Linked DNA regions of Arabidopsis thaliana. The protein of the gene in region 3 interacts with the protein of the main gene of each other region in a biochemical or structural test. Each region holds a gene or a part of one and is shown on either strand. Other genes may lie near its edges.

The links.
Region 1: the proteins of SOS2 (region 3) and SOS3 form a complex in vitro, tested with the Arabidopsis thaliana proteins (3 studies listed by BioGRID, with this or other methods).
Region 2: of the proteins of SOS2 (region 3) and CBL10, one has a biochemical effect on the other in vitro, tested with the Arabidopsis thaliana proteins (6 studies listed by BioGRID, with this or other methods).

Annotation. Positions count from the first base shown.
Region 1 is NC_003076.8:8,238,737-8,250,156, reverse strand, and holds the start of SOS3 (Calcium-binding EF-hand family protein), read left to right. Parts: upstream 1-6,713; 5' UTR 6,714-7,026; exon of another isoform or gene 7,027-9,929; 5' UTR 9,930-9,977; coding exon 9,978-10,068; exon of another isoform or gene 10,069-10,170; coding exon of another isoform or gene 10,171-10,186; coding exon 10,187-10,269; intron 10,270-10,346; coding exon of another isoform or gene 10,347-10,359; coding exon 10,360-10,419; intron 10,420-10,506; coding exon 10,507-10,615; intron 10,616-10,723; coding exon 10,724-10,776; intron 10,777-10,895; coding exon 10,896-10,976; intron 10,977-11,081; coding exon 11,082-11,194; intron 11,195-11,297; coding exon 11,298-11,376; 3' UTR 11,377-11,420. Other genes in the region: AT5G24275 (En/Spm-like transposon), read left to right, coding at 1,488-1,568, 1,652-2,327, 2,428-2,551, 2,634-2,707, 2,927-3,021, 3,091-3,189, 3,272-3,338, 3,420-3,505 and 6 more.
Region 2 is NC_003075.7:15,917,992-15,929,411, forward strand, and holds CBL10 (calcineurin B-like protein 10), read left to right. Parts: upstream 1-6,357; coding exon 6,358-6,405; intron 6,406-6,727; exon of another isoform or gene 6,728-6,829; coding exon of another isoform or gene 6,830-6,847; intron 6,848-6,938; coding exon 6,939-7,107; intron 7,108-7,255; coding exon 7,256-7,338; intron 7,339-7,528; coding exon 7,529-7,588; intron 7,589-7,665; coding exon 7,666-7,774; coding exon of another isoform or gene 7,775-7,797; exon of another isoform or gene 7,798-7,846; coding exon 7,847-7,899; intron 7,900-7,968; coding exon 7,969-8,049; coding exon of another isoform or gene 8,050-8,061; exon of another isoform or gene 8,062-8,149; coding exon 8,150-8,262; exon of another isoform or gene 8,263-8,352; coding exon 8,353-8,407; 3' UTR 8,408-8,637; downstream 8,638-11,420. Other genes in the region: AT4G32990 (Transducin/WD40 repeat-like superfamily protein), read left to right, coding at 2,239-2,418, 2,543-2,629, 2,753-2,977, 3,071-3,135, 3,261-3,326, 3,416-3,487, 3,686-3,748, 3,988-4,057 and 2 more; GLDP1 (glycine decarboxylase P-protein 1), read right to left, coding at 8,861-8,949, 9,052-9,169, 9,267-9,365, 9,453-9,578, 9,660-9,737, 9,824-10,012, 10,104-10,256, 10,337-10,636 and 4 more. UniProt on the Arabidopsis thaliana protein: Acts as a calcium sensor. CBL proteins interact with CIPK serine-threonine protein kinases. Binding of a CBL protein to the regulatory NAF domain of a CIPK protein lead to the activation of the kinase in a calcium-dependent manner.
Region 3 is NC_003076.8:13,632,894-13,636,493, reverse strand, and holds the start of SOS2 (Protein kinase superfamily protein), read right to left. Parts: upstream 2,096-3,600; 5' UTR 1,877-2,095; intron 1,579-1,876; 5' UTR 1,562-1,578; coding exon 1,397-1,561; intron 1,311-1,396; coding exon 1,248-1,310; intron 1,150-1,247; coding exon 1,078-1,149; intron 993-1,077; coding exon 885-992; intron 788-884; coding exon 713-787; intron 645-712; coding exon 465-644; intron 341-464; coding exon 251-340; intron 148-250; coding exon 25-147; intron 1-24. UniProt on the Arabidopsis thaliana protein: Involved in the regulatory pathway for the control of intracellular Na(+) and K(+) homeostasis and salt tolerance.

The DNA.
Region 1 (11,420 bases), 5.4 Mb from region 3:
GGTGAAAGAGGAATATGAGAAAAGCCTGAACAAATGTGTATTGTCCGGTAAGAAGAGGAAGCGGGTTGATTGGAATTTGGCTGTCAAATATTATCTCGAGTTTAACGGCGAAAAGATTAAAGAAATCGTTCGATTTGACAAGTTTAAGCCTGATTTGTGCAATGTACTCCGTCTTGATGTGAGTCGTTGTTTTTTTTGTTTTTTCATTGTGCTACTTGCTCTGTTACTACACAAACTTATAGCTTTGAGACAGCTTTTGCGGATCTGATTTTAAGTTTCTCAATAATAATACTTGTGATAGTTAACATATATAATTACAAGTTTATGTGTCTTTAAAATACAAGGTTATTACTTAGGTCCGAGTATGAATTTCTTCGTTTTTGTTGGTTTTGTTTATAGATTTGTAAGACGGCGCGTACAGAGAACCCGAGCCAGAGTGAAGAGTACAATCCTTCGGAAGAACAAGTGTTGCTTGGAGATGATAATGAAGAAACTAAGCAAATTTCAATGGTATGTTTCTGTGTACAACTTAGTAGAAATTGGTATAACTCAGATGATTTTGTAACTTGGCACATCTTGATATTGATTGTAGGATTCTGAAGAGGAAACTGAACCATTACGACCCTTGAAAATGTACTTTAGCCCCTCCGATTATTTGAAGCCATTCAAGATAGGAACAAAGTGTTATATTCATCAAGTGGTGAATATTTTGGAGAGTCATCTTTCAAGTGAGGAGAAGAAATGGTTTTGGGAGCATCCACAGTTCAAACATTTCTTCCATATGCATACGGATTCAAATCACAAGGTAATGGCCATGTGGATGCTTCTTCTTCGCACCGCTTGTGTTGATAAGAAGAAGGAATGTTGGTTTGTTGTCAACGGTGTTCCAATCCGCTATTCTCTTCAAGAACTTGCACTCATCTCTGGTTTATACTGCCATTCTTATCCAAAAAACTATAAAGCATTTGGCAGCTTAGGGTTCTCTGGTAAGCATTTTGGTGTTGGTGCAACAGTAACATATGCGAAAGTGAAGACAAAACTACTCTCAATGAAGAAATCTTCGAGAGAGCGTTTGAAAATGGCGGTCCTATTCTTCTTATGCAGCGTCATCATTGGGAAGAGAAAAACAGGGGAAAAAGCAGAGGCTGTGGAAGATTTCTTTCTTAAATCCGTGGAAGATCTAGAATGGTGTAAAACATTCCCATGGGGTCGATTAGCATTTGATAAGAATATGAAAGACATTTTTCATCTCATGGACCACTTTGATGAAGAATTGGGCGCAGCATGGGTGTTTCCTAGCTTCGTGATGCAGGTATGTATTTTGAATGTGTTTATGATATATAAACTGGTTACAACTGGTATAACTTGGTATAACTACTGTTTGAATGTTTTGGTGTTGTCTGTAGCTTCTAGCGTTTGAGACCATCCCAAATCTAATGAACAACTTTAGAAAACATGTTAGAGAAGCAGATCCTGAGTGTCCTAGGATGTGCAAGATGAAGTTCAAACCTAGTAGTATGAAAGGCTTTCCTATTTCGGAGTTGTATGATACTCTTGGTACAACAAAGGTTAGAAATGATTTAATCGTATATTATTACCTTAAATTTTAATTGAGAGTATAGGATACAAATTGTATTTTTTTCATTCACAGGAAATTAAGAGTATCATGCTTCCATCTCCTAGTGAAAAAGAACTTTTGAAGCAAATCATGGATGATGAGGTTGGACATGATGATGTGGATGATATGATTGTTGATGGTTGGACGAAGCGTATAATTAAGGAAAATAAGCCAATATGTTTTGAAGAGCTTCATATCCAAGATGTTAGTAGCCGTGAGATTGAGGCAAATCCAAAGAATGCGAATGTTGTTGGGGTAAGAGTTGGTCGGAAAAAGGTGGCTCTGAAGAAGGTGAGTGAAAAAGGAATTGTTGAGCAGCTACAGAAGCAGTTGGAAGATGGTTTAAACAGAATATATATGAAGATTGATGACATGGATACAAGACTTACATATGTGGAATCATGTGTGAAGAATCTAAAAGAAGCTAAAGATACTAAAGGTGAGAAGGAAGATGGAGAGAAAGAGAAAGAGTTGGAAGAGAATGACTTGGAAGAAGATGAGACTGAAACAGATAAAGAGAAAGAGAAAGAAGATGAGTCAAGTGAGAAGAGAAGCAAGGTGGAGAGGATGTACGGGAGAAAGAGAACACGCACAACAACGGCAAAAGAACAAGAAGAAAAAGGAGAAGAAATTCAAGTCGGTTTTCAAGAAACAAGTGAAAGAGGCAGAAAAAAGGCAAAGTTGACATGGAAGAAAGTGGATATTAAGGGTAAGGAGTCAGATTTTGACAAGGACTAAGAAGAAGTAAAAACTTTTGGTTTGTGTCAAGACTTGGTTAATGTGTGTTTTTTGGTATTATTATCATCTAGGTGTAACTGCGGATCAGGGAAACTCGATTACTACTAACGAAAGGGTGGTTGTTGAACCGTCTTCGAAAGTGGGAAGTTGGAAACTTGCTTCTAATCTCAAGTCCACGCGGCAGTATAATGTTCAGTAAGACTCCTTACATGTGACCTTTCTTTTGTTCCTGCACTTTAAGATCTCAACTTTGATCAATATAATGGTGTGTCTACAGGGTGGGTTCTTCACTTCCTCCTTGCTCTATCTCTTGCGTTGATGAACCATTTTCTGTCTCAGTTTCTTGTAAAGGTAAGCCTTATGCTTTAATTTTGTATAGTAATATGTCTGTGCTGCAAAATCTTAAATAGTGTTACTCCAACTAACTGACATTTTTATAATTTCTACTTTGTTTATGGAACAGAGAAAATTGACAACAGTAGGAAATGTTTTTAGTTACAAACTAACCTGATTTAGAAGAGTACTTTTCTGTAGAATGATAATTTACTTCACAAGCTTTTCATATTTCAGTTAATCCTGGACCTTTGAAGCATGTTGTTGAGAAGTATCCAGAGGCTTTGGAGAATTTGCTTCCAGGTTCTACTGTTCAAAATTATATCTTGGAGGTAAAGGTCTATTTGTTAAGTATTGAATAATTACATCAAATCAAGCTATGTACAATATTTTTTATGCAGGTGTTCGATGGATATAATAACCATGTTGCAGAAGGTACCAATGTTCTGATATGTATTGAGGGCTATTGTATCAATGACTCGATGGGCTTAAACCAAAAGGTGCGAGAATGTTCTGTTTATCACTGAACAAGAATTTAGCAATGTTCTATTTACTCTTCTAAGTTCATTGATGATGTCACAGGTTAATAGTTGTGGCTGCATTGATCTGTCTGGAATACTCCAAGTCACGGCTGGCTATGGGAAAACTAGTAACATCTGCTACCATTCTTTTGTAAGATGTAATAATTCATATCTTCTTATTTTCTAATGTCTTTTTTTTTAATATGTAGTATCTCTCTCGGTTATGTCTGGTATTGATGAGATCTTCAAGAAAGAGTCTCAGACTGAGAGACGAGAGCTCATGCTCTTAACAAAGGTTAGTATATCTGTAACATAGGTTTGATTGTGTCAATGCAGTCTTAGTTTGTTTCTCTTATTCTGTCTTTCTCATTCTGAAATCGTTTGTTTTGATCAGCTGCCTGAATGCTGTGTTGCTGGTTCAAATCTTACAAACCTCATTTTTAAAGTGACGGATTCAGATGGTGTTATGGATACTAGTATCCATCATGATGAAAAATCTGGATGTTTCCATACAATGAGCATTGAAACTGATTCAAGCAGCGATGAGAGTGAAATCAGATATGCCTTTGTCCATGGTTCCTGCAAAGTTCCTACTCTTTCTCTACCTGAGAGGGAGGGTGTCTTTTCTTTCAAGGTTTTCCATTCTCGATTTCCCGAGCTTCATCTGAGCTTAAAGGTAGTAATGTTGTGGACTGAGTTATCTTACAAGTTGCAATATGTTTTTACAATGAGTAGAAAATGCCGGTTGTTGATAACATGTCCTCTTGATTTACAGATTCAGCTTACACCTGCTCAAATACTTCAAAGAGATGAGACATCTTATTCAAGGATGGGTTTAACACCTAAATCAAAGATGGCTTCAACCACATATTCACCGGCTCTCAGTAGCCAAACTGGCCCGAGCCTGAGGGATGTGGCACAGTTCACTGAGGTATATGGCCATCACCATTTAAGCCACAGATATTGATGTTTACATTTCATTTATGCCTAGGAAAAGCAGAACGATTTCTCGAATGATCTAACTTTTGTTTTCCGAGTTAACTTTTGAATTTTCCTGCAGAGCTTTAAAGAAAATCTTATTGGATACAGTGAACACAGAGTGGAAATAGATGAGCGCCTACATTGTTTGGAAGCTGAACAAAACCAGGCTAAGGAAGAGTTGCGTACCTTGCAAGGTAACTATTATCATTTGAAGAAGTTTTGATAACTACGATGGGGATTGAATTTGCATTGATGCTTACCTGCTCATGTTGCCTAAACCTTTATCTCAGCTTCTCTAGAACCTCTCGGTGCTATGTTCCCAGAATGCCTATCCACCAAAGAATCAATGATGAAACAGATTGAAGAGAAGCATCATGACACTGCAGCATCAGTTTTCTGTTGTTTGTACAGAAAGTCACCGCCTCCACAGTCACTGTTTCTGTCAAAGAAAGGAGTATTTGGCCTCGTAGCACTTCTTGGTTCAGTTGCCTCCACCTCCCTTAGCAGGTGACATAAATTTATACCCACAGTGTTACTACTGATCATAGTGGCCAAAACTTTTGTATCTGAAGTCATTTGGTATGCAGGGTGTTATCTGAATATTTGGGAGAAGACATGTTGCTCGCTTTGGTATGCAAATCGGCACAAATTGGACCTAATAATGCTGAGTTTCTCAGGCTTCAGTCCAATCATCGGTTTCATGTTCTATGTCTTGATGCAATCAGGTATTTGTCAACATATCGATAGCTAAACCTTAGAGTCGTTTCTGACAGAATCATAAGTGATCTTTTCAAACACGCAGACCTTGGAAGGATGGACTTTTGGAGAACGATCCTCAGAAGAAATTAGCCATGGATGACCCAAAGCTGCCCGATGGAGATCCCATACCGGGTTTCAAGGGCTATGCCGTGAACATGATTGATTTGGCTCCAGAGGAGCTCACTGTTCAAACTTACTCAGGATACGGGCTTAGAGAGACTTTGTTCTATAATCTCTTTGGGAATTTACAGGTATAGAGACCCAAAAGCAAGTTAAAGCAGCTCTTCCACACATCAATGGTGGTGGTGCAGTCTCTTTAGATGGTTTTATCGCAAAAGATAACGGATTCATATATTCCGGGTGCAGGTACTTGACCTTTTCTTGATCCTTGTATCCGTTTTAGTTCTTGAATTTAAACTGTAAAGCTCAAAACTCGAGTTTTATTCCTTGCATCTGTATTTACTGCGGATGATATGATTTATGGTTTTTGGATCAGCATACCGGAATTTCATTTCCCGATTACACTAAAGGAGGATGAAGAAGTGAAGCTGAGAAAAATGGAAGCAGCAAGAGATAAAGTGAGAATGGCAGCGAAGAAGATAGAGGAGGAGAAGTGTTCAATGCGTAAGGTAGACAAGAAAATGAAGAAAACAAATGAAAAATATCACAATGTCACAAACTCATTAGAGCTAATCCAGTCTCAGTCTTTAGAGTAATGAGAGTAAAACTGGACCTAAAACGATTCAAACAGTTTGTTTACCTGTTGGTTATCGGTTTGGTTTTTGTGTTTTTGGATTAGTCACTTTTGTTCTGAAATTTCATTTTCTTTTTCGGTTAATGGTATTTTGTTCACCAATTTTCTATTTCAAAAGTTTGTTTTTGATCTTGCTGCTATGATCTTTTTAAATAACTAGATTTTTTGAACCATAACGAACATATTATAAGAAAATAGCCATGGTAGCAAAACCAAACTTTTAAAATATCACCAATCCAACAGACAAAAAGAGAATACTAGTGGGCAAAAAGTGAAGGAAAATTTATCATTTCACATCGTAATTTTTTGTTTAATTGAAAAAGTGCAAATGAAATGATGGGTCAACTATAAATAAAATAAAGATTTTGTAATTGAACTAAGAAAATAAAACTCTGTGGATCATGACGAAAGTTAGAAAAGTTAGGCACATGTAGTTTCAGTGTTGTCATGTTTTTTTTTATGTAAGAGTAGGAAGCTCTCTTATAGGACGGGTATGATCAGCTGACAAGTTCCAAACCCTATAAAAAGTGATGTACATTGTGGAATCTGGTAGCTTGACGATGATGAATGTGATATATCTCTTTCATAGTTACGTTTTCATGGTAATTGTTAAAATTTTCATAAACAATCGAGTTCATTTTTATCGGAATCATAATAATTACTACAAAAATGAGCATACGTATAAATGTAATTATCAATCATCTGTAAGAAAATTTGTATTAGTTAGTTTAAGAAATATATTAGCGACTTTTTTTTTGGTCACAAGAGTGTCCATTTTATTTATATCAAACATCAAACTAAGGTCCAAGACAAACACATCAAGCGAAGGTGTAAGACAAAATTTCTTATGAAATATATAATTAACTTTTTTAAAATTGGTGTATTTTCAGAAGTGAATAATATTTTAGGTTATTTTTATATCAAAAACTGCCTCTCATATTTATAATTTTTTAAAAGATTATTTGCCAACAACCACCACAAGTGTCAACAAAAGGAAATTAAAAAGTGAGGTGGGACTTGAAAACAGTACTACTCTAATATTTTTTTTGTTTGTCATAAATAGAAGGTCGAGGAAACATTGCTATATAGTTTATAGTACACGATATAAAAATATATTTTCAAAACCGACATAACATCGGGATCCATCTGCGCATGGACGGACACAAACCTAACCCGATGTTGGGAAGCTCGTCACAAATTTGTTCTTCTATTTAAATAACTCTCATTTTGCCCTTTTCCTCTTCCAACACCATTATTCAATTATTCAAGATCGAGACAAGTGAAGAGTCGACAAGAACATATAGAGATTCATCCATATCTTGGTTAGTTATTTTTGATCTTATTTTTTTTGTTTCTTCGATTCACCATTGCTGAGAAAATCTTTCATCTCTATCCAATGTTTTTTTTTTCTATCACTTCCATGTTTTGGTTTTCTGTTTCGTAATTTTTAGTCCACCTCAAGATATATGTAAAGGAATTCACTGTTTTCCTCTCTCTTTTTTTCGAAATGGAGGTTTATGAGCTTGAAGTTTATCCCATCTTGGGTTTTCTTCAAGAAAGAGTCAAAATATGTCCGTGTTTCCAGGAATCTTCTGATAAGATTTAGTATAATTCGGTTAAATATTAGAAAAAACAAACAAACCAAAGCAAAACCATTCTTTAAAACTGACTCAATTGAGTTCTTTAGTGCTATAGACTGAATTGAACCGTTTGATTTTTGTTTTTCTTCTAATTGAGTGTATAGTTTCCAACATTCCATTAATCATTCAATGGAATTTGGCTTTGGTTTTGGTTTCAATCGAAATCAAGTTATTTCAGATTAGAGATTACAAATTGGATCATATCCGGTTTGGTCCATCTCGGTTCGATTTTGGTGGGTGTTTAATTAGTTGGTAGCCATTAGATATTTAGAACTGTTTTTTTGTTTCTTGTGTCACTTTTGGTGATTTAGAGTCTAAGGAGAGGAGATGGCAAATTTGATTTCTTACTAAAAATCAAAGACCACACCTAATAAACTTATTTATAGCAAATAAATTATAAAAGTCAATAGCTGCAAGTTTTTTTTTTTTTCATTTTTACTATTTAAATACTTATAGAGAAAATAATTAATTTTAAAACGTCATATTGCTGCGTGGCCGGTTTGATTAAACAACATTTTTGTTATTAATTATACAAAAAGATCGCGAGAAGTAAACAACAAGATGAAAATACTGCTTCTAAATTAGATATGTCTAAGTTTGTTTACACGACGTACATTGAGTATGATTACGTATAGATCTAAAAAACAGGTAATGAGAATTTGGAGGCTCCACACATAACAAAATCAAAATGGTCCATAAATTAATACATTAATTAGAAATGTCATAGAAAAGCCAAATGCACCAAAACCTTCCTTAGGCATTAGTTGATCATTATTAATGATTCATTAATTAACCAACTAGGCTCATGTAGTTTTCAAATATATACTATATTAGATTTGAGGTTCCAAGTTCAAGATTCGCTTTGCCTGGTCAAAGACAGGCTCTGATATGTACCAAATTAAATGCTAGTATGGTTGAGGATTTTACGTGGCTTTTTTGGAACAAAACGAGATTTAAATATACTATATAGTCTCTAGATATTAGTGTAAGTGTAATCAAGCCCTTTTTGTTTTATTTATTAGTAAAACACATATAAATTGCCTACATTGAAAAAAGCAACAAAAGGTTGTCTCAATCTCGTGATTATTGATTTTTGATAAAGCATCACTTTTTAATGTGGTCCCATGGCCATTCATATTGTAACTCTTCTCTTAGTTCTCTATCCTTTTCGTTCAAAATCCATTCTAGTCTCTCTTCACTTAAAAATGTACTCACCAAAACAACTTAAATCATGTTGGGTCTGATTGGTAACACAAAACTTTAGCTGTTAGCTGGAGCGGTAAACTGTTACGAAATAGTACAAAACTGTCTAAAAGAGCTGTACAGAAAAGTTTAGAATAAAACTTTTTGTAACGTTTTTGATAAAGTTTTTTTGAATGGTAACTGTCAAAGTTGTACAGTTTGTACAACTTTGATAATGAGTTACCATTCAAAGCCGTTATTTATTCAACCTATCCGGCTTCTTATTATGTTCCTAAACTTACGACATGGTTGTATTACTCGCTTAAATGTGTTCTTGTGATTGAGTTGGACATAGGTTCAAGCTTATTTGGAAAAGAAAAGAAAACATCTTTGTAGATATTTACTAGAGTACATTGACTGATTCATGTATATACGTGGACCAACGTCGATTAGATTTGATATTGATCCGGTATTTGTATTTATGTATTATCTATATGTATGCATATATCATAGGAGACTTTGATCATTTATCTATGTTATTAGGGATAATAAAATTAGGAGTAAACTAATTATCTCTTATATCTATACACCTAGTCATTAGCGTGGCTAATACGGCGACTTGCCTACACCTTCTGTGAATTATATAATATTTGGTTTCATTACGTTTATTGTGAATCATTACTAAATTATAGATTAAATAGGGAAAACGCTGTTTTTGTTCTAATTTTGGCTACTTCTGTTAATGAATTGATTGTTTAGGGAGAGCTTACTAGCTGTCGTGAAAGCTACAACTATTTTAATGGCTAACTTTGCCACCTATATCCTATGTATTTATTATGTAAAAAAAAAAATGTATAAACCAATGACATAATCGTTCGTATAGCCGTCGACTTCTATTGTATATTTGCTCAAACGTCGACCCTTTCAAAATTTTAATATCGATGTTTGTCAAACTCTTGCAGATTTTGATGAATTCGACGCTAGATTGCCTTTAACGAAATTCAAATGTTACATATACATAGACGATATATATATACATGCATTAGATGTACATGATTAGTGCTCATCTACATTAATATTTCATGTATGTATATGTAATTAAATATTGAATTTCATTAGAAACATTTTGGTAATCTCGTGAGTTTGCCAAAATATGTTTACTTTGTTTGAGTTTGACCACAAAAAAAACACTAGAAAAGTCAATAACGTGACAAACTAAACAAGTTGCCTATTATTAATTGCACTCGATCTTAATTGGTTTGTTCTAGGACCATTTTTAGTAGAAGTAAAACCAGCGAAAACGAATGTAGGATTCAGTCGAAGGGTGTTTTATAAAATCATCAAATTATTAGGAACAATGAAATATCTGTAAATTAACCAAGATTATTTGCGTTTGGTTGTAGCGTGAGAAAAGCAAAGGCTAATAACAGTTGAGAGAAGGGTGTGTTTGTATGGGCTGCTCTGTATCGAAGAAGAAGAAGAAGAATGCAATGCGACCACCGGGATATGAGGATCCCGAGCTTCTTGCATCCGTCACGCCATGTTAGTTTTTAGTTTAAAATCTTATTAGTAAGACAATCTTTAAATGTTACAATAGCATGTTGTAGAGTTTGGTAAACTTTTTCAAATTTTATTTTACTTGTAATGGGAGGGACAATAGTCACGGTAGAAGAAGTGGAGGCTTTGTATGAACTGTTCAAGAAGCTAAGCAGCTCAATTATCGATGATGGTCTTATTCATAAGGTTTCTTCTTTCACTCTAAAAGGTCCATATGTAGACAGCAATTAGGTAATCTATATAGCTTAATTAGAGTTTAAAAGTTTGATGTTGCAGGAAGAATTTCAGCTGGCTTTATTCAGAAATAGGAACCGGAGGAATCTCTTCGCTGATCGGGTACATATAGTAACTACCTAGCTAGAACAAGTGACATTATTGAAAACATATGTAAATTTAAACAAAGTTCTGTTTTATAATATGCAGATATTTGATGTATTTGATGTGAAGCGAAATGGAGTGATCGAGTTTGGTGAATTTGTCCGGTCCTTAGGTGTCTTCCATCCAAGCGCGCCGGTCCATGAAAAAGTCAAATGTCATTCTTCTAGCCCCAAAAATTGTTTCATATTCATTCTATGTGAATTTACTTGATATTCTTTTCTTAATTGGCTAACTAACAAAGAATTTTCTCATGAATTTGCAGTTGCTTTCAAGTTGTACGATTTACGACAAACTGGATTCATCGAGCGAGAAGAAGTGAGTCCATTTACGGATACTTTGTTTTGGTACCCTCCAGATTAAACAGTTTTACTCCACTAACGTTTATGTGTGTTGATCTAACATGTATATACCATAATGAATTACATTTTGATTAGTTGAAAGAGATGGTAGTAGCGCTTCTTCACGAATCCGAACTAGTTCTTTCCGAAGATATGATTGAAGTAATGGTGGATAAGGTAATCACTCCCACACCGATGCACATTTGTTTACTAGATATTAATTCCAATACTGAAGATGATATGATAAAGAATTTATAAGGAAATGGTGGTATATATTTGCAGGCTTTCGTGCAAGCAGACCGCAAAAACGACGGAAAAATCGATATAGATGAATGGAAAGACTTTGTATCCTTGAATCCATCGCTCATCAAGAACATGACTTTGCCATATCTAAAGTGAGTTCATAATTTACACCGTGACCAACTTTGATCCAAACCAACTGCTTTGATTGTTGCATTGAATCAAATTGACTAATCAGAAGATTCTTGGTAAATGTAGGGACATAAATAGGACGTTTCCAAGTTTCGTTTCATCTTGTGAAGAGGAAGAAATGGAATTGCAAAACGTATCTTCCTAATATAAGCCATGCAAGGAAAGATAAATATACATAAAACGAATATT
Region 2 (11,420 bases), on a different chromosome or scaffold from region 3:
ACAGAGAAGTGCACTCATTTCTGTTGCAGGCTTTAAATTAGGGAAGAGACCCTACATTTTACTATTTACATGTCTCTATATATATATATATGTATGTGTCTCTATTTATAAAATTTTATAAAGTTATAAGAAAATGGTGTTGTCTTCTTGTGCTGGTTTCAATTATCACAAATCAGAAAGAGGGAAAAAAGTAAAGAAGGGTGAGATCTTTTTTAGCCATTTAAGGAGAATTGATGAGATGTGTGATCCATTTGGGTTCTTGCTTTTTCTTCTTTCTTTTCTCACCACTCGTGTCTTTGTATTGTGCCATCAAATCTTATATCCATTTACGTATTTTTTTCATATAAGTTTTTTACGTAAGCTTTACAAAAATATCAATCAATTTGCTTGGCCTTTTCTTTGATTGTTCCTTTCTTATCATTTTTATTTATTTATTTATTTATTTTAAGTTCAATGTGTCGTTATGTGTTACGTCTTTATTATCATGGCTAATGATGATGGAATTGAACTCTATTACTCGTAGACTATATAGATTGCAACATCTGAAATTATGCTCTTCTTTATTACAACCAAAAGAAGAAGAAAATCTAATGGTACTTGATTTGATCTGTATTAGCGTGACTTGATCTGTATTTTAAATAATGTTAATGGTACTTGCCTAAACAATGACTTTCTAAGCTGGTATGAGACAAAGAAAAGGGTCAAGGACAAGTATCTTGCATGGCCACTCCAAGCAAAATTGGATATTGATTTGGTGAAACAGTTATTGTTGTTCGTATAGGACAAAATTATTTTCAATAGAAATCGATAATTATTGATATCATATCCTTATTATTGTTTGCTTACAAGTCTATATTATTTAATAGTTTGAAATTTTGATTTAGTAAAGCAGAATAGTATCAATAACACTAGGAACTATAGTACCGACTATTAACTGAAGCTGGAATGCATCTTTAATCATGCCTACGATCTTAATCAATAACACTTATTAATGTTAGACTATTAGACCCGTGCTCATAACTTTTGGGTCCTAGGCGAATTATAAAAGTTACTTTTTTTTGTTGTCTGATAGTCCAAACAAGAACTTGTAATGCTTTTTCTAAAATGAAACAAAATGTACGTTGGCTATGGAGCCTATCGACTCCAGCACCAGCAGATGCTTAATCTACTCCATAGACTAGAGCGCTTTTTATCTGAAGTCGTATAATTTCCCAAGTCATTTGGCTTAATTATTGTGTATCAACTTATACTATATGCTACTGATGTCTTGCTTAGAATATTATACAAGTTCATTGACTTAGAATTATATATAGGCAGACTAAGCAAAATGGGAATAAATGATCACAGAGGGCATTAACTAGTTCACTGAGGTTCAACAATCTACTTGATCTTAACTCCTTTCGAATTAATATAGAAGTCGAGCACTTGAGGATCAGAAAACACACATTCATTCTCAGTGTCTGAAGCACTTGAGGGTCAGAAAACACACATTCATTCTCAGAGCGGCGTATAATTTTAAGATGTCAATCGCTCTTACGTAAAGATCGATAGCCATCCACCTAAACATATGCAATACTCCTTCTGTGAACAAGAAATTTATTGATAAAACCAAGTGTGTTAGCAAGTTAATCTTTACATAGAAATCAAGGACTCACTCTTAATGACCAGCAAAGTGTGTTAGCAAGTTGAGTGACCAGCAAAATTCTAACCCTAAAAAAGTAATGTAGAAAGCAAGCCCTCATTATCACCTTTACCGTGACATTTGGATTTCCATCTCTATCACCACCCATCCAGGAACCAAACTTTAGTGGATTCATTGATGCAATGCAGATAGAAGAAGAATAGAAGATGATGCAATGCAAGAAAGACATCCCTTGAGAGAGCCCAAACCATTCACCTTATTCCAATACATTAAAAGGTGTGGTTTTTCCCAAAAAAAAATTAAAGTAAATTTTTACTTTTAGAAAATTGGAAAGAAAATTTACAAATCAGATAAATGAGAATTTACAGCTCAATATTTCCATATCTTCCAAATATTTTCCATAGATTTTATTTTATTGGAAAAAGTATCTTCTTAAAATACCTTGAGAGGTTGTTTAGACTTTCTAAAATTTATTGGAAATTAATCTTAACCATATGCTTTAACTTTTGTTATTTACCTCGACGGGCCGATATTATATATATAGCAAAATTTGATTTTCGTGGAACTTATAGGCTTCTCTGCTGATCCAGAAGGAGATGAAAGTGATGGATAAGAATTTAGGGTTAGAGGAGGTTCAGAAACTTGAAGGTCACACTGATCGTGTTTGGAACGTCGCCTGGAATCCCGCCGCTGACGGTGTTATTGCTTCCTGCAGTGCCGATAAGACCGTACGAATCTGGGAGCAGAGTTCTCTTACTCGTTCCTGGACCTGCAAGGTCTCTCTTCTCTCTTTCTTTCGAATTTGATGTTGTTAGATAATGTGTCACTAATGAACATGAAGCCTCGTGATTGGTCAGGCTGTTTTGGAAGGCGCGCACACAAGAAGTGTGAAGTCGTTAGCTTGGTCACCGTCTGGGAAGTTTCGATGGCAATACTTGCGTTTGGGAAAATTTTGCTACTGACTCCGAGTCTGTCTCTGTTTTACGGGTACTAAATGTACTATCTCAAAGGCCTATCCTTTATGTGTTTGTTGACAACTGAAATTTATTGTAGGGCTTTGATGTCCCTCTGGGTTTCTTGACTTTTTAAAATCTCGTGGAATTTTCTTAGGGACATGAAAGCGAAGTCAAAAGTGTATCATGGAATGCATCTGGTTCGTTGCTTGCAACTTGTGGTAGAGACAAGTCTGTCTGGATTTGGGAAATACAACCAGAGGAGGACGATGAATTTGATACTATTGCAGTGTTAACTGGTCATTCAGAAGATGTTAAGATGGTCTTGTGGCATCCCACCATGGATGTTTTGTTCTCTTGCAGTTATGATAACACTATCAAGGTTAAGAGAACAATGCTTCAAATGTGCTTTCATGAATTGGTGTCATATCTATGCATAAGCATTTAACTGCAATGCTTGTGTTTCTATTAACAGATTTGGTGCTCTGAGGATGAAGATGGTGATTATAATTGTGTACAAACCTTAAGTGAACTTAACAAGTATATCCTCTATTTGTCTCTTCTTTACTTCTCACATGTTGAAATTTTCCTACCTTGATGCTATTGTTTTCTTGATATTTCTTTTATGCGTTTAGTAATATATGTTGCCTTTAATCTTCACTCAGTGGTCATTCTTCTACCGTCTGGAGTATCTCTTTTAATGCTGCAGGGGACAAGATGGTCACTTGTAGGTTGGTGAATCTTCTCCCCATTGTTTCGGATAGGAGATTTCATCTCTGTTACCTGGTCTGTTAACATTTGGATTGTCTGAACTTTGCAGTGATGATCTAGCAGTGAAAATATGGAAGACAGATATTTCAAGGATGCAATCTGGTGAAGGATATGTACCCTGGTGAGGATATAATGGCATTCAATTATCACTTCATAGAGTTTAGCATATACATCTTTCCTCTTTTGAAGATGTATTTTTTGTTATTGTATGGTCTATAAGTTTGACATAAGATACATGCGGTTGAATATTCTTCATTTGCTAGGGATTTCATGTTCTAACTTGTAGCTAATGAAATATTTACGTGCTTGATTTTTGCAGGACTCATGTTTGTACACTCTCTGGTTTTCACGATCGTACCATATATTCAGTTCATTGGTCAAGGTATAGACTTGTTGTCACTTTTGAGGGATTTGAAAGAAACAATTGTAAAGTCCTACTATATTCCCATGCCAACCAAGAAGATGATTTCTTACACCTGATAAATGCACTTTTTTAATCTAGTTCATTGATCAAATAAAGCTAAATTAGTAATAAGCTTTGCTGACCAATATTAATTGTCTTCTATGTGTCCTACTGGATAGATCGACATAAGTTTATGATAAGATCTGATACCTTGATAGGGACGGTGTTATTGCTAGTGGAGCAGGCGATGATACTATACAGTTATTTGTGGACAGCGACAGTGACTCTGTATGCCCTTGTCCCTTTTACCTATAATCACAAATCCCTCTTTTAGTATCATTTAGAAAATATCATTAACCATATCTTGTCCGGTTTACTTCTTGGCATATGCTCTGTGTCATCATTGTAGCACAACACAAGAAACCAAAGCTCATGGTTTCTTGATTGAATTTTTCGTTTGCTTTAGACTCTAGCCAGTGATTTTTCATTACATACAATATACCTTGTGTACAGCCAAATTGAAAAGCTGGTCATCATTGTGTCAGGTTGATGGACCTTCATACAAACTTTTGGTTAAGAAGGAGAAAGCACATGAAATGGATGTAAATTCGGTCCAATGGGCACCTGATGTAAGTTCATTTCCTTTCCTAAGGAGTAATTGGCTAAATATGTAAACAAATGCAGGGTAATCTTACTCGTATGTTGGTACTGAGTTTGGTTCATAAAAAAAATTGAAAGCTTGATTTTCTTGTTTAAACTAGTTTTAGCATATACGGCGAATCATCTCTTGCTAAAGATTCTGAAATCGAGATTTGCATTGCAGAAGGAAAGCCGGTTGCTTGCCTCGGCCAGCGACGATAAAATGGTTAAGATTTGGAAACTTGCCTCGGAGCCATGACCAGACGGATACATATTCTTTTAATTTGTTGGTTTCTAACTTAGTTAGAATTTCTATTTCATTGTTTAAGTAGGAGGAATGTGTTCTCTTAGTTAGATTTTCCTTTAGTATACACAGAGATGCAGCTTTGCTTGTCAAAAACTAGAGAAAGGATATCTCTATTTAAATTAAAAAGGGTCGCCTGAATTTTCAGCCCTATACTAACATTCCACCCTAAATTTTTAGCCACTTGAAAAACCACCATAAACAATTTTAATCTCGATAAAACTACATGTACTTTCGGATTTGTTCTTAAAACTACGCCTCCAATTGAACCGACCAGTTAACCGATAATTATACATCCGGTTTGACTTACCCATAATTTATCCAAAACTAATCCGATTTTGACTCTATTTTAACCCAATTTATACCCAAAAAATATATTCTCTAGAAGAAAAATACTTTTTATTTATTTTTATTTATTTTTGATAAAAAATTAAAAATAAATTAATTAATTTTACCAAAATAATAAAATAACAAAATATACCGCAAAATAATATAACAAAATAGACAACAAATTCTTTTTATAAATACAATGGTGTTATATATATAAATGTATTTGGTATATACTCTAAATTTAATAATTCAAAAGCCATTTTCTTTTTAAAAACACCATAATCATATATAAATATATATATATATATATACATATATAACTCATCTTGAATATATAAAAAGAAAACTGAATCTATAAAGAAAAATAAATTTATAAATACCATAAGATATACTTTGATTGTGGTGTTTATGGATATCTATAAAAATAAATTTGGCATATATTTTGAATTTTATTACATATATAGAGTTCAAAGGTCATATATTATGATTTCAAGAAAAATGAATATTTTTGTTTAAAAAAAGACATAGCTTTAAATTTATAAAAAAATATAAATGATTGCCAAAAGGAAAATGTATATGTTTGTATATTATCAAAATTTTATAACAAAATGTAGCTCAAAATATAATTTGGGGTATATTTTGTCATATTAAGTTTTGCTAAAATTAAGTAATAATTTAATATTTTTAATTGTTTATCACAAATACAAATTAATAAAAATACTTTTACTTCTTAATAAGACAATTTATTTACATTTTGTGTGGGTCAAAATTAGGCTAAAATAGAGTCAAAATCAGATTAGTTTCGGTTAAATTAGGGGTAAATCAAATCGGATGTATAATTATCGGTTAACTGGTCGGTTCAATTGGAGGCGTAGTTTTAAGAATAAATCCGAAAGTACATGTAGTTTTATCGAGATTAAAATTGTTTATGGAGGTTTTTCAAGTGGCTAAAAGTTTAGGGTGGAAAGTTGAGATTCCAACTAGTATATGGCTGAAAATTCAGGCAACCCAATTAAAAAGAAAGATTATGAGTTTTGTTGAGAAGAAAACACGTGCAATAAAGAGCTTTTTGGTTTCTTCTTTTGTGTTCACTCTGGAAAAGATGTTTCAGAAACAGAGGAATTGCAGAGTGTAGCACACCCACTCTTATTAGCATCGTGCAAACCGCAAAAAAAAAAAGATCCTTAATCTTTTGCGTCGTCTAATCCACTTTGTGTATGGAAATATTGGAATGGCTAAAGTTGCTAAAATTAATCAATTAGCTCTTCAACTATAGAGTTTGATAAGACATGATCGTCATCGACTAAGTTGATCCATGACAACTGGCCGACCAAATAATATTTTAGCATTGAAAATTTCTACTGTATATGTATTTTCAAAATTACATTCAATGATAGGATAGTGACAAATATTAATCTGAAAATATAACATTGTCTATTGTTTTATTTCTAAGTTGAATGTAATTTTGAAAATACATATACGTAGAAAATAATATTTTAGCCAATAAAAACTAAAAAGCTCTATATTTATTCTTGTTCTTTTTTTTCTTCTTCACCAATATATATGTTTACCAGTTTAGCCATTCCATAATATATTATTTTGTTTAAAAAAAAAAAAAAAATCAAATGGGGACCACCAAGGACGGTACATTCATTTGATTTTAGAGAATGGTTCAAATGACGGATATATTAGCGTGACATTTTGATAAACTGAAAAAATAATAAGTGAAGCAGAATCAAAGTTGCCACTTAGTCCGGAAGACTGTGATTGTGATTTTGAATGAACTCATGGAACAAGTTTCCTCTGTAAATTTTTCTCACTACTTTGATTTCTCATTTCTTCTCTGATTTTGTCTTTTTGTAATGTTCTTGTTCTTGTTTTGTTTTGGTGAAACAGAGATCAAGCTCTCTCACTGTCGGAGAGCAATTCTGCGCCGTCTTTATACCTTTCTTTGCCATTATCGATGTCCTAGTTTCCTCCGTCGGACAATGCTTCGATTGCCGCAGCACATCGCCTCGGACATGTCAGCACGCGGATCTGGAACGTCTTGCTCGTGAATCTCAATGTTGGTTTTCTTTTTGTTTTTGCCTCTCTCTCTCTCTCTCTCTTTCATTTCATGTCCAATGTGTTGTATACGTTCTTGGATCAATGCGTCTTCGAAATGACTCTGTTTGGAAGTTGATAAGTTTGAAAAGTTTGTTTCTTTTTTGCAGTTTCAGTCAATGAAGTTGAAGCTTTGTATGAGCTATTCAAGAAATTGAGCTGTTCAATTATTGATGACGGCTTGATTCACAAGGTCTGTTTTTTCTCTCTCAGATATGTCTAGTTGGTGAATTTTTCATAGGTTGATGATCATCACTTGACTCCTTTTCCTTTATGTGTGTGATTCATTGCTTTCAAGGCATTAAGTTTGCTCTTTTTAGATGATAGTTATCTCTCATTATAATTTATGGTTATGAAGAAATTTGATATTTCTGGTTTCCTAGGAAGAGCTTAGACTGGCGCTGTTCCAAGCTCCATATGGTGAGAACCTCTTTCTTGATAGGGTGAGTGGCTTCTCATGGTTTCTTGGACTTGTTGAGATGAAAGTTTTTTTTACTTTATATTGATTGGTGTTTTGCAGGTTTTTGATTTGTTCGATGAAAAGAAGAATGGGGTTATTGAGTTTGAGGAATTCATCCATGCACTCAGTGTCTTTCATCCCTATGCATCAATCCAGGAGAAGACCGATTGTAAGGATCAATATTACTACTAATATAACTCCTTGGATGATCTCAAGCATATGCTTTTATTATCTGTGACAGTTGCATTTAGGCTCTATGATCTAAGACAAACTGGATTCATTGAGCGAGAAGAGGTAAATAATAATCTGCCATTGCAAGTTGCAACCCTTCTTTTCAGCTTCATAATAAGTTGGACTTGTTAGGTGCAACAAATGGTTTCTGCTATTCTCTTGGAATCTGATATGATGCTATCCGATGAACTTCTGACCATGATTATTGATAAAGTGAGTTCTTGAAATCCCATCTCTCTTAGTGTGATGTATAATATTTTGGTAAATTTAGTTAGCACATGCTTCTTTTCTTTCTCTACTTTGTTTTTGCTAGACATTTGCTGATGCAGATTCTGACAAAGACGGTAAAATTAGTAAGGATGAATGGAATGTCTATGTGCATAAACATCCTAGCTTGTTGAAGAATATGACTCTTCCTTACCTAAAGTACCAAATCCTCTCTCTTTTTTAGATTAGCCCTTCCATTTAGGATTTCCTTTACTTTATCATCAACCATATCTGTATTTGAATTTGAAGGGATGTGACGACAGCATTCCCAAGTTTTATATTCAACACTGAGGTTGAAGACTGAGGCACAACTGTCCATGCAACACCGGTCATCTTTTTTCTGCTTGGTCCTGTAATTCGAGTGAGATTGTCATAGCGCAAGAGCAGAACGAGGAAAGAAGGTTTTCCTTATTTTATTTTAAGCCAACGTAGTTGATGATTATTAGCTGTAAGTAAAATTGTCAAGCACTTTGCTTTGTTTTGATGACTTTACTGTAATTGTTCCATTGAAAGTAATGAAGCATTTTTCTTTTCATCTTGCGTCTATGGCAGTATAGTTGATTTAAGTCTTGATTCTACCAAAGTTTGTGTTTTGTTTTCGGTCAATTGTGGAATATATAATTTATAGAAGATGTATTCGAATGAAATAATAGAGTAAGAGACAGAAAGCGTATAATGAGAACACTATGGACAGAATGTGAAAGAGAAGAGTGCGTGGTGAGAGAAAGGGACACAACACAATGGGACAGAGCAGTAATCAAGCAGACACTGCAGCTGCGACTTGTTCTTCCTCTGGGAGGAGAGTGCACACCAGTTTCCTGTCTCCATATACATTGTCCACACGCCCTGTTCCACATTTCAATCATTTGTCACATATCAGAATTCCGAAACCAGAATAAACTGAATCGAAAACCAAATGTGCAATCTATATCTTGGATGGTCTAATACCTGTGGTGGGCCAGAACTTGGAGGAGCGGAGCCAAGGCGCAGGGAAAGCAGCATACTCTCGAGAATACGGCTTTTTCCATGTGTCTGCCATTAGCAACGATGGGGGATGTGGAGCTCCCTGAGAAAACAAACAACCACCAACGTATGAATCTCAACTTCTCCGAACAATATTATTATTGGATATAATTATGATAAGTCTTTGTTTTCCTAATTACCTTGAGAACGTTGTTCTGGACATCTGCATTTCCTTTTTCAATCTGTGCAATTTCTTCCCTGATTGAAATGAGAGCATCGCAGAACCTGTCTAGCTCCGCCTGCAAACGAATATTATTTAGTTTCATCAAGTTGATACACTGAGAGAAGAAAGAGTCAATGAGAGATCTGCATATATCCATATTTACCTTGCTTTCACTCTCGGTTGGCTCAATCATAAGAGTTCCAGGGACAGGCCAAGACATTGTGGGTCCATGGAATCCATAGTCCATTAGCCGTTTCGCCACATCCTCTGGTTCTATTCCAGCAGTGTTCTACAAATTCATATTTGAATCGGTCAGTGATATGCATACCCAAAACAACTACTTTAATTTCAGTTCACAACATTTTCATACCTTGAAGCCTCTCAAGTCTATGATGAATTCGTGTGCTACTGTTCCGTTAACACCACGGAAAAGAACTGGGTAGTGTTTCTGTAAAAACAAATCAAGAGGAAAATTAGACTCCTTTCATTCTCAAAAGATGAATAGGTAAATAGAAGACAAAGATGTTCTACTACCTCTAGGCGCTTTGCCATGTAATTGGCATTCAAAATTGCAATCTTAGAGGCATCAGTGAGCCCACCAGATCCCATCATGGCAATGTAAGTATAAGATATAGGCAAGATAAGCGCAGATCCCCATGGTGCAGCGGATATTGCACCCAAAGGTGCTGTCTTCTCGGGTTGTGGGATACCACCAGTCGGTATCTGTATACATGGAAATGGAAGAAACAAAAAATTAAGGAATTAATCATCAATCACCAAGAAACATAAAAGTGATGAAGGATAAAAGACTAACCACGGGGTGAGAAGGAAGAAATGGTGCCAAATGATTCTTCACACCAATGGGACCCATACCAGGACCACCACCTCCATGAGGAATACAGAAGGTCTTGTGGAGATTGAGATGGCACACATCCGCTCCAATAAAACCAGGGCTCGTCAAACCAACCTACACGTACCCAACACCATGCTCTTACAAATTAGAGAAAATTCAAGATCTCTGTGTTCTGTTTTAGTAAGATATTTCACCTGTGCATTCATGTTGGCACCATCCATGTACACTTGACCTCCATTTTCGTGTATTATGTTGCAAATCTCGTCGATGCCCTCTTCATAGACTCCATGAGTTGAAGGGTATGTAACCATAAGAGCAGCTAAGTTGTCTTTGTTGGCTTCTGCAGCTTTTCTCACCTCCTCAATGTTAATGTTTCCCTTAGCATCAGTTCCAACTGTAATAATTTTCATCCCGCACATAGCAGCACTTGCAGGGTTTGTACCGTGTGCAGAGACAGGTATGATACACACATTACGGTGATGATCTCCTCTTGACTGAAAAATGCATTCATTCATTCACTTTTCAGCTTAATACAATTGAATAGAAGATTGTTAGGTAGAATAAGATCCAAATTTAGGATAAAAGATGTTACCATGTGATATGCGCGGATAACCATAAGCCCGGCATACTCACCAGCAGCACCAGCATTAGGTTGCAACGAGAAAGAGTCAAACCCAGTGATCGTACACAAGAGGTCACCCAAATTTTCGAACATTTCCTACATACATGTGGACAAGATATCAGTTCATTGTTCAACTTTCTAAATCAGACCTCAGATGAATCAAGAAAGTCACTAACCTGATAACCTTGTGCTTGTTCAACAGGAGCAAAAGGGTGAATGTCAGTGAAACTTGGCCATGTGACTGGCATCATTTCAGTTGTTGCATTTAGTTTCATCGTACAAGATCCCAACGGAATCATGCTGTGGCACAGTGATAGATCCTTTGACTGTAACTTGTGGATGTACCTAAGCAACTCATGCTCTGTGTGGTACCTAATCATATTATCAAAATGGAAAACAAAAATGAGATACTGCCAATCCACAAGTAATAAGCCACTCAAGATTCAAAGAACAGAATAATACATGTTGAAGATTGGGTGGGTAAGATAAGGACTCTCTCTTGTTAGGCTAGAAGGAATGGAATTCTGAACCTCGGGTGCTAGAGATTCAGCCGTAAATGGAACCTGAAGCGAATTGAGATAGTCAAATTTCATGCAAGGATCCTAGAAATGATATATCAATAACAAAAAGAGGTATGAACAACACTCACAGGCTTG
Region 3 (3,600 bases):
ATATAATGAAGGCGAAGCACAAACCTCAATTCCATCAAAAACTGCACGAATATCATCCAAATTCACTTCTTCTTCTTCCCTTGCTCGTATAGGCACATAATTTAATCTGAACCAAGGATCTTTCTTGATTCCTTGAATTTGAATACGCTGCTCTAATTGAGAAACAATAATAGATAAACAGATATAATTACTAGAACATTAAATATCACCAAAACCTGATAGCTAGGAGAGAACAAAGCAAAATACTCACTGTTTTGGGATTGGGGTCAAGTATCCTATGTATTAAAAACTTCACTTCTGCGGAAAACCACGGTGGACAAGAAAACTCTGCTGCATTTATCTGTAAATAACAATGTGTAAAAGCTCAAAACTAAGGGTGAAATTGCAAAACCAAATCAATAAACGGTTTGACAAAAGCCATGACAAGGAATTCATGATTTCTTCCCGAAAGATATGTTACTTACTTTTCTGTACAACCCTGGAAGATCCGTCTCGGAAAAAGGTAAATATCCAGCCAATATAACGAAAAGAATAACCCCGCAAGACCAAATATCAGCTGCTGAACCATCGTAACCCTGTCCACTAAGTACCTCTGGAGCTACATAGTTCGGAGTTCCACATGTGGTACGCAGAAGTTCTACTCCCTGATTGAGTATATAACAAGTTAATGACCACGTAAGCAGACTGCTGAAGCAGAGATAAGAGCACTTACTTCCTGAGGCAATGCACTGAGTCCGAAATCCGAAACCTTCAGATTTCCATTTGTATCGAGTAAAAGATTTTCTGGCTAGATAACATAACATAGCGACACAAAAATATCAAGTCTGGATTGCAACGCAGTGAGATATTCTGAGGAATATTGGTAAACAAAAACACGTCTTTACCTTTAGGTCACGGTGGTAAACACCCTTGCAGTGACAATGAGCAACAGCATCTACAAGCTGTTGAAAGTATTTCCGAGACTCACTTTCTTCAAGCCTCCCTTTATGAACCTGCATGAAAGATTTCATATATTAAAAAATTAAGTAGAGAGGTTTTAACTAATGGACGCTGCCTACAAGTATGGAAGTTCCGTACAATTCTATCAAAGAGCTCTCCTCCTGTCACAAACTCCAAAACTATATATATTTTCGAAGGACTCGCCAACACCTACATCGGGAAAATCACAAAAAAACAACAGAAGAACAATGATGCAAAAACACTTCAGAGATAAAATTTCGCAGATGCATGGAAACAAACAAACATACCTCATACAACCTCACTATGTTCGGGTGACGAACAATCTTCATTATAGATATCTCTCTTTTTATCTGTAAAAGAGCTTTAAACGAAATCAAAGATCATACCATTGACGCAACAACCTTAGTTTCCATGTAAAAAACAATCCAGAACATACCTGATCAACCATTCTGTTCTTAAGTATTGTACTCTTAGCCATAATTTTGATGGCTACATTATCACCAGTGTCTGTGTTCCTCGCAAACTTAACCTTAGCAAAGGTTCCTTCACCTATTGTGCGACCAACCTCGTACTTGCCCACTCTTCTCATTTTCTTTGTCATTCTTTACAAACTTTTATCTGATCCATTGACCACAAGCTATCAATCAGATTATTCAGAGACTTAGTAAAAACCTCTTTCCTTAAACGTTTATGATTTCGATTTCAATTACTTTACGTATTGTTTGCTAATTTTAGCTCCTACACATCCATATATACAAAATTACTCTGTATCCATAATTTTGATTTCGCAGCATAAATCAACATAAATTCGATCAAGGAAACGACGAAAAGGTAAGGATCAAGATCATAATCAATATATAAAATTCGTACGGCTGGAATTGCGATTGGGCGTAGTCGAAAGAGAATCGTGAAATACCAGAATTGGATTCGCAGAGAAGGGTTGATGAAAGAGGCGTAGGAGAGAAGGAAGGCTCGTGATGCGATTCGCGAAAGCCGTGAATCGTCGATGCGAACGTCCGTGCAGATCCGTTGAGCATTTCGGGTCGGGTTATTTGACTGTACCCGTATACGACCTGAATTAGTCGTTCGGGTCAATTATCCGTTTGGGTGATTAAACTTTTAAAAACTAACATTGCATTTTGAATCTTTCAATTTAATAATTGTGAGGTTTTCAAAATTTAAAAAAGAAAAAAAAAACTAATCTAATATCACTTATCAATTTAGTAAATTATTTTTAAAAAATAAACATATAGTATTTTCAAAATTTATTTTAATTTTTTTCAAATTATCTAGACTATGATTAATCGAACTCAAATTAGTAAAATTTTCTATTTTTAACTACAAATTTTTAACTTCATTTAAGTCAAGCAAGGTTCAAAAAAACCAAGAGAACAAGGATGTCTAAGTTTAAGACAAAGCATACAAAGATACTTTCCAATGCTACAAAGTGATATATAAAAAAGTTCGATAAGGATTCGTGAGAGTTTGGAAACAAACACTAGGGAAAAATTTGGCGTAAGTGATAACACGGTTTATCGACGGTTCATTCACAAAGCAATGGTCAAAAAGATGGTCACGGTCAATATACTAGGTGATGTTGAAGAGGCTTTTATGGCCTAGATTTTCGCCGGCACGAGAAGAGCTTCATCAACAAGGAAGAGGACTATGGTTCTATAGTCGGTTGGGATTTGCTTTAAAGGTTCAAGATCTTTTTTAAAAAGTTTGAAAACTTCTTGATAGTCCTATAGTCGGTTGGGATTCACATTAAATGTTCAAAAATCATACATACAAAGTAACGATGACAATGTCAATGAAAAATTGGCAATGAAGATGATAAGAAGGAATACAAGAGCAAGAAAATAATGAATGTGAAGAGAAATATGAAATGTAGGTGTTGGTGGCTAATTGAATATAAGAAAAAATATTGATAAGAATGAAAAAGTATTACAGTAATATTTTTGCATTATTAAAAATAAAAATAACTATACATTAGTACTTTTGCATTATGTTTTTTTATATAAATAACGTAAATGAAACTTACAAAACAATTCCGTTAAAAAGTTATCAATAGTAATTTTTGATTATTAACTTATGATCATATGTAGGGGTGTCAAAATGGGTCAAAATTCATGGGTCAACTCAACTCAACTCAACCCATGAACCCTAATGAGTTGAAATTTTTGACTCAAATGAGTTGATGAGTCAAATGAGTTGATGAGTCAATTGGTTTGATGAGTAAAATGAGTTAGGTTGTAATGGTTAATGGTTTCCATGGTTTATCCAATTAACCCATCAAATTTTGTAAAATTGAATAAAACCAACTAAAATCTCTAAACCAATGCCAATTTAGGTTTAACCAACACATCTAAACCAATTTAATAAAATTAATATTTTTCCAAATTTCTTAAATATACAAGCAATGAAATTGAGAAAAAGTAAACTCGTAATTTTTCCACCAAAAAACATAAATCCGTGATTTTCCCGCAAAAAAAAGTAAACCCGTGATTTTCTCGCAAAAAACGTAAACCCGAGATTTTCCCGCCAAAAACGTAAACACGAGATTTTCCCGCCAAAAACGTAAACCCGAGATTTTCCCGCCAAAAACGTAAACCCGAGATTTTCCCGCCAAAAACGTAAATC